Linked DNA regions of Canis lupus familiaris. The protein of the gene in region 1 purifies or fractionates together with the protein of each later gene. This does not show direct contact. Links are inferred from orthologs where the notes say so. Each region holds a gene or a part of one and is shown in the gene's direction. Other genes may lie near its edges.

Region 1 (3,500 bases):
AGATATATGCAATATGATGAAATGAGCTTTATTCACAAAGATCTTTTTTCTTTCTAGTTCTTCAGCTTTTCTGTAGCTCTCCTAAGCCAGCTTTGAGATATGCAGCTGTGAGGACCTTGAACAAGGTAGGTGTCCCTTTGCCAACTACTGACTTATATCAATGTTTGATTGAGAAACATTACATGTGAAGCATTTGACTTTCTCCCCAAGATAGAAAGGTAGGATTTATGGTCTTCACTTCTAGAGCACCTTCCTTGTATTTGTGGCCTTATGTATGGCTACTTTTACCATTCAACTAAAGATTATAATTCATTTCTGACTTTCAAGCACTTTATGGCTGAAAACCACATTGTCCAATAGGATAGCCATCAGCCATGAGTGGCCATTTCCATTTAGATTAATTAAAAATTTAAAAACCCTGATAATTTAGCTCCTCAGTCACTCTAGTCATACTCCATCTGCTCAGTAATCATGTGGTTAGTGACTGCCATATTGGTCAGTGAAAAAATATAGAACATTTCTATCACTGTAGAAAGTTCTCTTGGACAGTGCTGGTGCAACACAATGTGAGTCACATTTGTAATTTTAAATTTTATAGTAACCACAGTAACTTCTCCCTCTGTGTCTCTGCCTGAGTCTCTGCCTCTCTTGTTCTCTGTGTCTATCATGAATAAATAAATAAATCTTTAAAAAAATTTTTTAAAGATGAAATTAATTTTAATAATATATTTTATTTACCTTCATATATATAAAATGTCTTGTCAACATGGAATCAGTGTAAAATTATTAAAGATCTATATTGCCTTACGTTTTTTCATACTAAGTCTGTGACATCCAGTGCTTATTTCATGTTTAGAGCGTATCTTAATTTGGACTAGCCAGATACCAAGTGCTTAGTAGTCACATTTAACTATTGGCTACTATATTGGATGCCACAGGTTTAGAGGATACAGTTCAGAAACATAGAATGAATCAAAGAACCATAAACATTTGAAATGAAAGTTTAATGTAGAAGAAGACTTGTCATAAGGCAGTATGTGATCTATTACAAATTAATTGCATCTTTACTGGAAAACCAAAGAAGAACCTTCACAGAATTTGAGTTATACTTTTAAGAGGTGATATAGGTCCACATGCCTTTAGCTATAATCTTAAGGACAGATGTGTCTCAGAATTCAGTACTTTATGAATTTTGGGAAGGCAATATGGTGCTGTCTCTTATATATTAACTCCATTGAGCCTAGAGCAGTCCCCTACCATAAGGCACATTAATATTTTTTAAGACATTAATATTTCTTTGTTATACATATGACTATCCTCACTAAGTGGAATAAATTAAGATTTAACTCATTTTATATTATTTTGGGTCAGATTTTCCTGTTAAATGAGTTTTGATGCCAATACTTTGCTGAGTTTTCAAATTTTTTAAATCGTGGGTAAAGGATTCTATACCAATATTGAGACAGAGAGGTGAACAATTTCGACAAAAGCAAAGAAGCAGGAGAATGAGACATGTTTTAGGGAGTGTGAGCAATCCAGTTTGGCTGGAGTTTGTTTAAATACAGAAGTGTTTTCTAAGTGATAAGATATTAACAGTCTTTGAGCAGTGTTTACCATGGTAGATCCTTACATCTAGTAGATCCTTACATCTAGTAGCGTATATATCCATGTACACATGTATTATAAACAAAAACAGGTCAACTGCAATAAAATACAGGCTGTGGTATTATTACAAAAATTATAGAAAACTAGAGACCTAGGAAGAGAAAGTGCTATGTTACACTATGACTCTGGCAGGTGTTTGTCAAGTGATATATTATGCCTTATTAATTGAAAATGTTCTTCTTAAAACAATTACTTTTGACCTATTTAGATTTTTTTTTTATAATTTTTTTTAAATTTTTATTTATGATAGTCACACAGAGAGAGAGAAAGAGGCAGAGACATAGGCAGAGGGAGAAGCAGGCTCCATGCACCGGGAGCCCAACGTGGGATTCGATCCCGGGTCTCTAGGATCGCGCCCTGGGCCAACGGCAGGCACTGAACCGCTGCGCCACCCAGGGTTCCTGCGCCACCCAGGGTTCCCCATTTAGATTTTTAAAAGCCACTTACCTTGATTAAAATATCTGTTTTCCTCTTCCTTTGTTTTTTAAAGTTCTGGTCTTCATTAGTAGCAATTTGCTTAATTTATTTTTCTTGCCCTTCCACAAGGTGGCAATGAAGCACCCCTCTGCTGTCACTGCCTGCAATCTGGACTTAGAAAACTTGATCACAGACTCAAACAGAAGCATCGCTACCCTGGCCATTACTACACTCCTCAAAACAGGGAGTGAGAGCAGTGTGGACAGGCTTATGAAGCAGATATCTTCTTTTGTTTCTGAAATCTCAGATGAGTTCAAGGTAAAAGTTTAAATATGATCATGTTTCTCCCAGTCTCTGGCTTGCCTGTTTCTTAACAGTATCTTTTGATGAGCAAAAGTGTTAAAGTCTAATTTATTAATTTCTTTCTTTCACTGTTATATTGCCTTTGTCTACTTCCAAGCCTTAAAGATATTTTCTTATGTTTTCTAAATGTTTTATGGGTTTAGCTTTTACATTTTGGTCTATGACCCAATTTGAATTAAATATTTATATATTGTGTATGGTAAGTTCAAGGTTTTTTTCCATACTAATATCTAGTCATTCCAGCATAATTTATTGAAAAAGACTTCTTTTTCCCCACTGCAGTGCTTTGGCATCTTTGTCTGAAAGGCAGATAACTATGTAATTGTAGGTATATCTGGGTTCCTTATCACATTCTGTTGATCTATTTGTCAATCCTATGCCACAATGTGTTGATTAATGTAGCCTTATGGTATCTCTTAAATGTCAAGCCATGTGATTTTCCAACTTTGTCCTTTTTTAATATTCTAGGTCCTTTACATTTCCAAATAAAGTTTAGGATCAGCTTATAATTTCTATGAAACAAAGTCTGCTAGGATTATTCTTGGGGTTATGTTGAATCCATAAATAAATCTGGGGAAAACTGACATCGTAACAGTAACATCGTATTCCAGTTCATGAATATGGTATGCCTCTCCCTTTATTTAGGTCTTCTTTAATTTCTCTGAGCAGTGTTTTATAGCATTTACTATATCAGTCTTGCACATCTTTTGTTAAATTTGTATCTAAATATTTTATGCTTTTTTACTCTATTAAAATTCCTATTTTATTGTCTGCTAGTAGTATATAAAAATACATATACATATATGCTTTATCATATATATTATATATAATATATGTAAATATAATATTTAAATATTAAAATATAAATATATTTAATATATAAAAATATTTTTTTCTCTTTGTCATAACTTGGTATCATTGCTCAGTACCCTTATTGGTTCCAGTAGTTGTTATGTATTCCTTAAGGTTGTCTGTAAATAATCATGTTATCTGTGAATAGAGACAGTTTTGCTTCTTCATTTCCAAACTAAATGCCTTCCCTTTCTTTTTCTTGC
Region 2 (3,465 bases), on another chromosome or scaffold:
TGAGGTCTTGTGTGTTATTTTTATAATCAGAGGACATGTCAAAGTTTCTTTCCATCTTTGGAAAACATTTCTTGATACAATGAGAAACAGACACCAGTAGGAAGCTTTCTCCCTGTATCTCTGTGAGGGGTCGAGTTACCATCAGAAGTTTGTTTGCAGATCAGGGGCGGGCCAGGGCCATTAGTCAGGTGCTCCTCAGGCTGCTTACTTGGAGCTGCCTTGCCCTGCCAGGCAGCCACCATGCCTCCTTGACAGGGTCTGACTCAACTGGACTGCTGTATGCCTGCAGGGCTGGTCAGGAAAGCCTGGCCTGGTGGGGTGTCTCTGCCCTAGAAGGAGAGGGCAGTGGGGTCCCCAGTTAAATAACACCCATCTGTCCTCATTCTCTGAGACACCACCTGGGCTGGCTTGCTGCCCTGTGGCCCTGTCCCTGCCACGCCATGCCCCCCCCCCCCCCCCCCGGCAGCCTGAGGCATGCCGTGGCCTCATTCATCCTGGTGCCTGCGTGCCACCCCATGCTTTTCACTGTCCTTCCCATTCCTTTTTGTGTTCACCTCGTTTTGCTTCTGTGAGTACATGCCACTGTGCCCTATGACAACAGCTGAGGAGACTAAGGTGGAGAGAAGTTGAGTTTCCCCAGAGAAGGGCAGCCCTGGCATGGAGCTGGGTCTGGGCAGGAGGCTGGGGTCCATACAGCTCCTTGAACCTGCAACACCACGAGTCTGGGTTGCTGTTCTCTGCTCCAGGTGCCCAGTTAGGGCTCCCTGCAGTGTCCCTGCTTCAGAGCCCTGTGTGGGTGGGTAGAGTGAGGTCATCCGCTTGGATGTTCTGGTAATTTCCCAGCAGTTTCTTGTCAAGGCCCCTGGAGAGCAGGAGGGGCAGGCGGGGTCTGCCCTGTGGTCTCAGACCTCATTTTTGCAGCAAGAGGGACAGCTTGCCAGCGATGGTATTCAGGCCATCTTGGGTTGGGCTCTGTTACTTTGAGGTTGGTATAATAAATACACCCCTCCCAAATCACAGCAAGCAAGGGGGCTCTTTTGCATCCTGGTCCGCAGATGAGACACTGGGCTTAGAGGGGAAGCAGCTGTTGGGGAAAAGAAAGGTAGTCAGAAGGTGGGTTGGGGTTGGGGCTGGGCTGGGGCCCCCTCGTCACTTAGGTAGAAAGGAGGGTCCTGAGGTCACCACCTCGCAGAATGGCCAGTAGGCACGTTTTGGGTCTTGCAGCCCCCACCTGCTCCACCTCTGAGGGTATGACCTTGTATGGGTCATGTCTTCACCTTGGGTCAGTGGGAGGCATTTTCCCACCTGAGATGGGGATGGGCAGGCCAAGTCGGGGGCCTAGGGGAGCTGACCCTGCTCGCCTGGTGTTCCCTGTGTTTCCAGGACAGTGGCCACCCAGAGACACTGATCAACCTCATCGTCCTGTCACAGCACCTGGGCAAGCCACCCGAGGTAGGGTCCCCTGGTGCAGGGGAAGTGTTCTGGCCCTCAGGGTGCCAGCGTGTGGTGGGCAGGGGTCTGTGATACGGCTCCAGCCCCAGATGAAGCTCAGCATCTTGAGCGGAAACGCATTCCTTTTGGGGGCAGGGGTGGTGGTGGTGGTGAGTGCAGTTGCATTGGCGCGAGGGGCCCTGGGAAGTTGGTGTTGCAGGTGATCCTCTAGGGCCCCACCCTGGCCCAGGCTGTAGGCCAGCTGCTCCATGGGCCCTATGAACTATGAGCTGTGTCTCAGAGGGCCAGCTGAGCTGGGATCCCCATCTGTGCCATCTCTTGGTGGAGAGAAAAGGGGCCCAGGGGAGCAATCTCTGTGAGCCCATGTTGTCTAAGGGTGGGGAGGGAGGGAGAACTCTGGGGCACCGCTCTCTGTAGGTGACTGACTGGCACAGTTGGCCAAGGACCGACCCCAGGACTTCCTGACAGTCGGTCACCCATCCCTTATAGAAGCCCCCCCCCCCCCCCCCGGCAGCTTCAGGGCTGGGGCAGAACAGCATAGACAGGACAGCTGTCCCACTCACCCCAGAAATAGCACTGGACCCCTAGTCTCAGGGAGACAGGTGCCCCACCCCCTGAGTCTGAGCTGGGCCTGGGGAGGTGAGGGGAGCTGGGAGCAAGGGCTCTTCCTGGGGTCCAGGTTCTAATACTGAGATCTCTGGGGTTTCTCTGTATAGTGTGCCCAGAACAAATTCACCTCCCCTCCCAACTCTCTTCCCCCTGACCTGCCCTCTGCTCCTCCTAGTCCTAGTCCTCTCCTAAGGTCCCTCCCAGCCTACTCCCCTGAATCCGGTGATGCATCCTCCAACCGTGCACTAGCATGGGCTCTGTGCCAGGTGCCCCCTCTTCCCTCCCCAGCCCTGGGGGTCCTCTGTCATCAGCCTGATTTCACAGTGGGGTGATGGACGTGATGGGAGACCAGGGCCCTTGCTTGGGAGACCAGGGTCATCTGGGCAGCCCTCACTTCACCCCTCCTCTCGCTCTGCATGTGCAAGCCACCTGGGTGCCCCCTATTCAACTAACCTGGCCTCTGGCCTCATTTCCCTTGCAGGTGACAAACCGCTACCTGTCCCAGCTGAAGGACGCACACAGGTCCCACCCCTTTATCAAGGAGTACCAGGCCAAGGTGAGCCTGAGCTGGCGATCTGTCCCACATCCCCAGACCCCCCATAGGCGGGGCCAGGGAAGGCCTGTGACTGAGGTCTTGACTCACGTTCTCTGTTTCTCTTTCTGCTCCCACTGTCCCCAATCCACATTGCAGGAGAACGACTTTGACCGGCTGGTGCTGCAGTATGCTCCCAGCGCCTGAGGCCGGCTGCAGGCTGGTTCCCAAGCCCGGGAACAGCGAGGCTGGGCATGCTGCCCCCACTGCCAGGCACCCATCCTCTTGTGCTCTTGGTTGCTCTGGCTAGAGGTGAAGGCTCGAGGCTCAGCCTGACCAGGGCCCCTTCTGTCAATAAATATCTCCACCTGATCCATGTCTGCCACTCTGGGAGGGACATGTGTGAACCACGACTCAGAAGGGAGGGTCCCAGGCACTGTCCCCCAGGGCTTTTCCTGGGAGGGAAGCCTTGGAGACCAGGGCCTGTGAACAGGAGCTGCACAGACTCCCCACCCCGGAAACAGCTGCCCCATGATGCTGAGCTACGGCGGCACTGCTATGTCTCCCAAGTCCACTTGACATCCAGAGAAACTGAGATAGTGACAGCCATCATGAGGAGCATCAGGACTCAAAACCAGTATCCTGGGGTGGCAAGGGAGGTAGGAAGTACTCAGGCCTCTCAGTTGAGTCACATGTGTGCAAGGAACACATGCACCCCCACCCCACCCCATCCGACCATCCCCTGCTCCTGGTTGTTGTGGCCGAGGCACTCAGCTCTCTACCTGGAGAGAGGAACCCATGGTGAGTGCCCTTCCATAAGAGAAAGCCAGGGCAGTAGCTGGCATCTGTTGTCTGGAGAGAGGGTGGTACCC
Region 3 (3,500 bases), on another chromosome or scaffold:
TTTTAGGTATTGTGTTCCTGGCTGTGCCAGAAAATTATTCCTGCTTAGAAGTTTCTCTCAAGAGCTCATATTGAAGTCAAAATAGGAACTTCTCACTTTGGTCCGGAGGGACATAATTCTGTTTAGAAAAATATTATGACAACTTGTGCTCAGTGGGAGGAGTGTTTTTCCATGTCAAAGCAATCTATTATAAAACTTGTAAACCATTGCAAACCTAGAATAAGAAATATGCCAGTATCTCTTATTTCCTATTTCTTCTCCTTTTCGTGTATTCTGTTTCCTATTTCCTTTCAGTGTATTTGTTGTTGACCTCAGCTGAGTATTAATCTATTTTACTTTAAAATTTCATCTGCCTCCATTCTCTTTTTCTTATTTCTCCCTACTGCTGCCAAGTCTTTCTAAAACATGGGTTTGACCTTTCTGCTCCCAATCTAAGGATAAAGTCCCAGTACCTTAATGTGGAATACAAGGGTTTCCAGACTAGCCACAGCTAATATTATGAGACATCTCCTATAACCCTGACCTACCCACCATTTTCTAGAGAACTTTATTCAGCTGTTACCTCTACTTATGATACTCTTTATTTTTCCCTTTTGACTTTTTTTCCTCTGGAGAACTACTCATCTTTCAAGGCTTAGCACCGTTATTTACTCTGAGAGGCTCTCTTCAGACTTCCATTACATCCCCAGACAGAGCCAGCCATGCTCATCCCATTCCTTCCATTCCTTTTTGTTTCTATTATGGCCCTTATTTTGAATGATAACTAATGTGTCTTCAGAAATCTTTATCCTCCAAAATGTTGATGTTTGGGGTAGGAACTGGTATCACCCCCACTCCCTCAAACAGACACTCAGTAGCCAGCAACACAGTGCTTTGCTTGTACCAGACACTTAATACATGTTGCATGAGAGTAGTCATACTCCTTTTTCCATTACAGTATTTAAAATCTCTATATGCATAGATTTAAAATGATAATTGCATTAATTTTTGCTTTCATGTGTGCATGTATGTTTATATCTACGTAACATTTTTATTAATTTTCCTTTAACTTAGGTAAAATATTATGTTATTTGATGATAATTTATTATTAAATGATATCTGTCCAAATATCTTAGGGTTTTGACCTTTTTCCCCCTTTTGCTGGATTGTCCTTGTTTTTGACATAGGTTGGAAACTTTGAGAAATTAGTTTCAAATTTTCTTCAATAAAAGGTATATCTTGAGAACATAAACTGTCTTATCTTTGGTTCTAACAAAGTTTATTAAATGTATTCAGTGGTAAACATTTGTTTACGCATCTTTTATACCTCCTAGAGGGCCACTTATGTAGGAGGCTCTCAGTAATTATTTGTAAAGATAAAGCTCAATAGTAGTGCTATGGTAATGTTTGACTACTTTTCCATACTCTAAATTTTTTAGTTAAGTGGTAATTTTCTCTTTTTAATAAACCTTACTAAATTAAATCCACTTTTACTATCTTTATATTGAAATTCTCATAAAAACCACATCTTACCTTTAAAGAATTGTTCTTCAGACACAGCCTGTGGATTACTGGGGTATCTGTTAAAAAAAAAAAAATCTAGATTCCTGAAGAATCTGTAGGGATAGGGAAAAACTCTCTAGGGATAAAGCCTGGAAATTGGCATTTTCAGAGAACACTGTAGTTATTCTGCCCCCCCTGGAAATTCAAGTAAGGTGAGAAAGAATGGAAACAAATGGATGAAAAAAAATACATACATTCTTTAGTTTTTAGTTTTCCTCTCCTGGGCTTTGACACTTTATCTAATGTATTAGAAGTGTGGTGGAACTGCCTTCTGAAAAGCAAGGCCTCTTATTGACTGGCAGATGCTGTTGCTCTCTAAAGGTTTGGCAATTGGGTTCTTCCTCACCAAACTTCACTCTGGAAGGACATGAGAAAGGCGTGAATTGCATCGATTACTACAGTGGTGGTGATAAACCATACCTCATTTCAGGTGCAGATGACCGTCTTGTTAAAATATGGGACTATCAGGTACAGTTTTTTCATAATCTTGCTTTGCTGTATATTAGACATGGATTTCACTGTTTTCTTCAGAACGCTTAAAACTTTATTATTGAACTCCATTCATAGTAATAATGCTTCAGTATGTGCATCTAAATAGTGGTCTCAGAGTTCTCCATAAAAATGAAAACAAATACCTATCGAGATTTTAAAATAAAATGCCATTATGTTTACTTTTCATTCAACAGTAGAAATTATAATCATTTTGGTTAAAATGAAGTATTACATCCTCTAGTATCCTCACTGGTAGACTTCTGTTCATATTTGAAAACTAGCAGATCAACAAATAATACTATGACATAGCCATGGTATAGCCAGTTGTCACATAGGCTTTGTAAACCTAATTACGACTTCTTGTTACTATGCTTTTTATCTCTAAGAGACAGATTTTCTGTTTCTTAGATCAAAATTTCCATAAACAGTTATTAATAAAATGAGGCTTAGAAAGCCAGTGTTACTCAGCACCTTATTCAGATTTGTGTTTAAGTACAGAATAAAAATATTAAAGATATTATCTTAGAAGTTGCGGGGGGCGGAGGATATTCAGATGAAAATCAGATCTCTTCTTTAAATGTGATAGTTGCAATTACATTTCCCTATATTGTCAAAGAATTAGAAAAAAATATGCACATAAGATAATTGTGTTTCAAAAATTTCTATATATAAAAACTATTTAAATTGTCACAACCATTATCACTTATGTATCTGTGCACTGGAAAAATTAAGGATGAGTTATTTTTCATTAAAAAAATAGATATATTTAAAATATTTTTTTTTTTCTGTGTCTTGATTACAGAATAAGACATGTGTACAGACACTGGAGGGACATGCTCAAAATGTGTCTTGTGCCAGTTTTCATCCTGAGTTGCCAATCATCATCACAGGTTCAGAAGACGGTAAGTTAGAAATGTACGTTTGTTCCTGTGCTTATAATTACTAAGTGCATGGTTTTTGTTTTTTTTTTTTTTAAGATTTTATTTTATTTTTTTATTTATTCATGAGAGACAGAGAGAGAGGCCAAGTTACAGGTAGAGGGAGAAGCAGGCTCCACGCGGGGAGCCTGATGTGGGACTTGATCCCAGGACTCCAGGACCAGGGCCCTGGGCTGAAGGCAGGCGCTAAACTGCTGAGCCACCCAGGGATCCCTAAGTGCGTGTTTAAGCCAGGTAGTGCCCTGCATTGTAACTGGATGTTTCTGATAACTTCACTGTTTTTTATTAGAGAATACTTGAGCTTTAGGAGAGTGAAGGGACATTGTTGTCTTCACTCTCCTCCTCCTCCTAGTGTGTTTTGGCTCTCTTACTTAAGTAAAAGGATGCCCAGAAGTCCTAAAGAAAAACTGTGAAAAAGCCTGTCAGTACTTTGGAGTCTAAAAACCTGGGATCAAATTCAGGTGCTGCCACTTCATAGATAGTGGTTTGAGTAGATTATGAAATGAGAACAGACATATCTGCCCCATA

Evidence for each region.
Region 2: the proteins of COPG2 (region 1) and COPE purify together in Homo sapiens (affinity purification with mass spectrometry; 5 studies listed by BioGRID and IntAct, with this or other methods). This does not show direct contact. The link is inferred for Canis lupus familiaris from reciprocal best matches to the Homo sapiens genes COPG2 and COPE.
Region 3: the proteins of COPG2 (region 1) and COPB2 fractionate together in Homo sapiens (co-fractionation; 4 studies listed by BioGRID and IntAct, with this or other methods). This does not show direct contact. The link is inferred for Canis lupus familiaris from reciprocal best matches to the Homo sapiens genes COPG2 and COPB2.

The regions. Positions count from the first base shown.
Region 1 is NC_049235.1:6,238,136-6,241,635, forward strand, and holds part of COPG2 (coatomer subunit gamma-2), read left to right. Parts: intron 1-57; coding exon 58-125; intron 126-2,211; coding exon 2,212-2,400; intron 2,401-3,500. UniProt on the Homo sapiens protein: The coatomer is a cytosolic protein complex that binds to dilysine motifs and reversibly associates with Golgi non-clathrin-coated vesicles, which further mediate biosynthetic protein transport from the ER, via the Golgi up to the trans Golgi network.
Region 2 is NC_049241.1:44,618,541-44,622,005, forward strand, and holds the end of COPE (coatomer subunit epsilon), read left to right. Parts: exon of another isoform or gene 1-329; intron 330-554; exon of another isoform or gene 555-1,084; intron 1,085-1,383; coding exon 1,384-1,452; intron 1,453-2,542; coding exon 2,543-2,617; intron 2,618-2,704; exon of another isoform or gene 2,705-2,752; coding exon 2,753-2,800; 3' UTR 2,801-2,965; downstream 2,966-3,465. UniProt on the Homo sapiens protein: The coatomer is a cytosolic protein complex that binds to dilysine motifs and reversibly associates with Golgi non-clathrin-coated vesicles, which further mediate biosynthetic protein transport from the ER, via the Golgi up to the trans Golgi network.
Region 3 is NC_049244.1:36,083,786-36,087,285, reverse strand, and holds part of COPB2 (coatomer subunit beta'), read left to right. Parts: intron 1-1,863; coding exon 1,864-2,010; intron 2,011-2,836; coding exon 2,837-2,936; intron 2,937-3,500. UniProt on the Homo sapiens protein: The coatomer is a cytosolic protein complex that binds to dilysine motifs and reversibly associates with Golgi non-clathrin-coated vesicles, which further mediate biosynthetic protein transport from the ER, via the Golgi up to the trans Golgi network.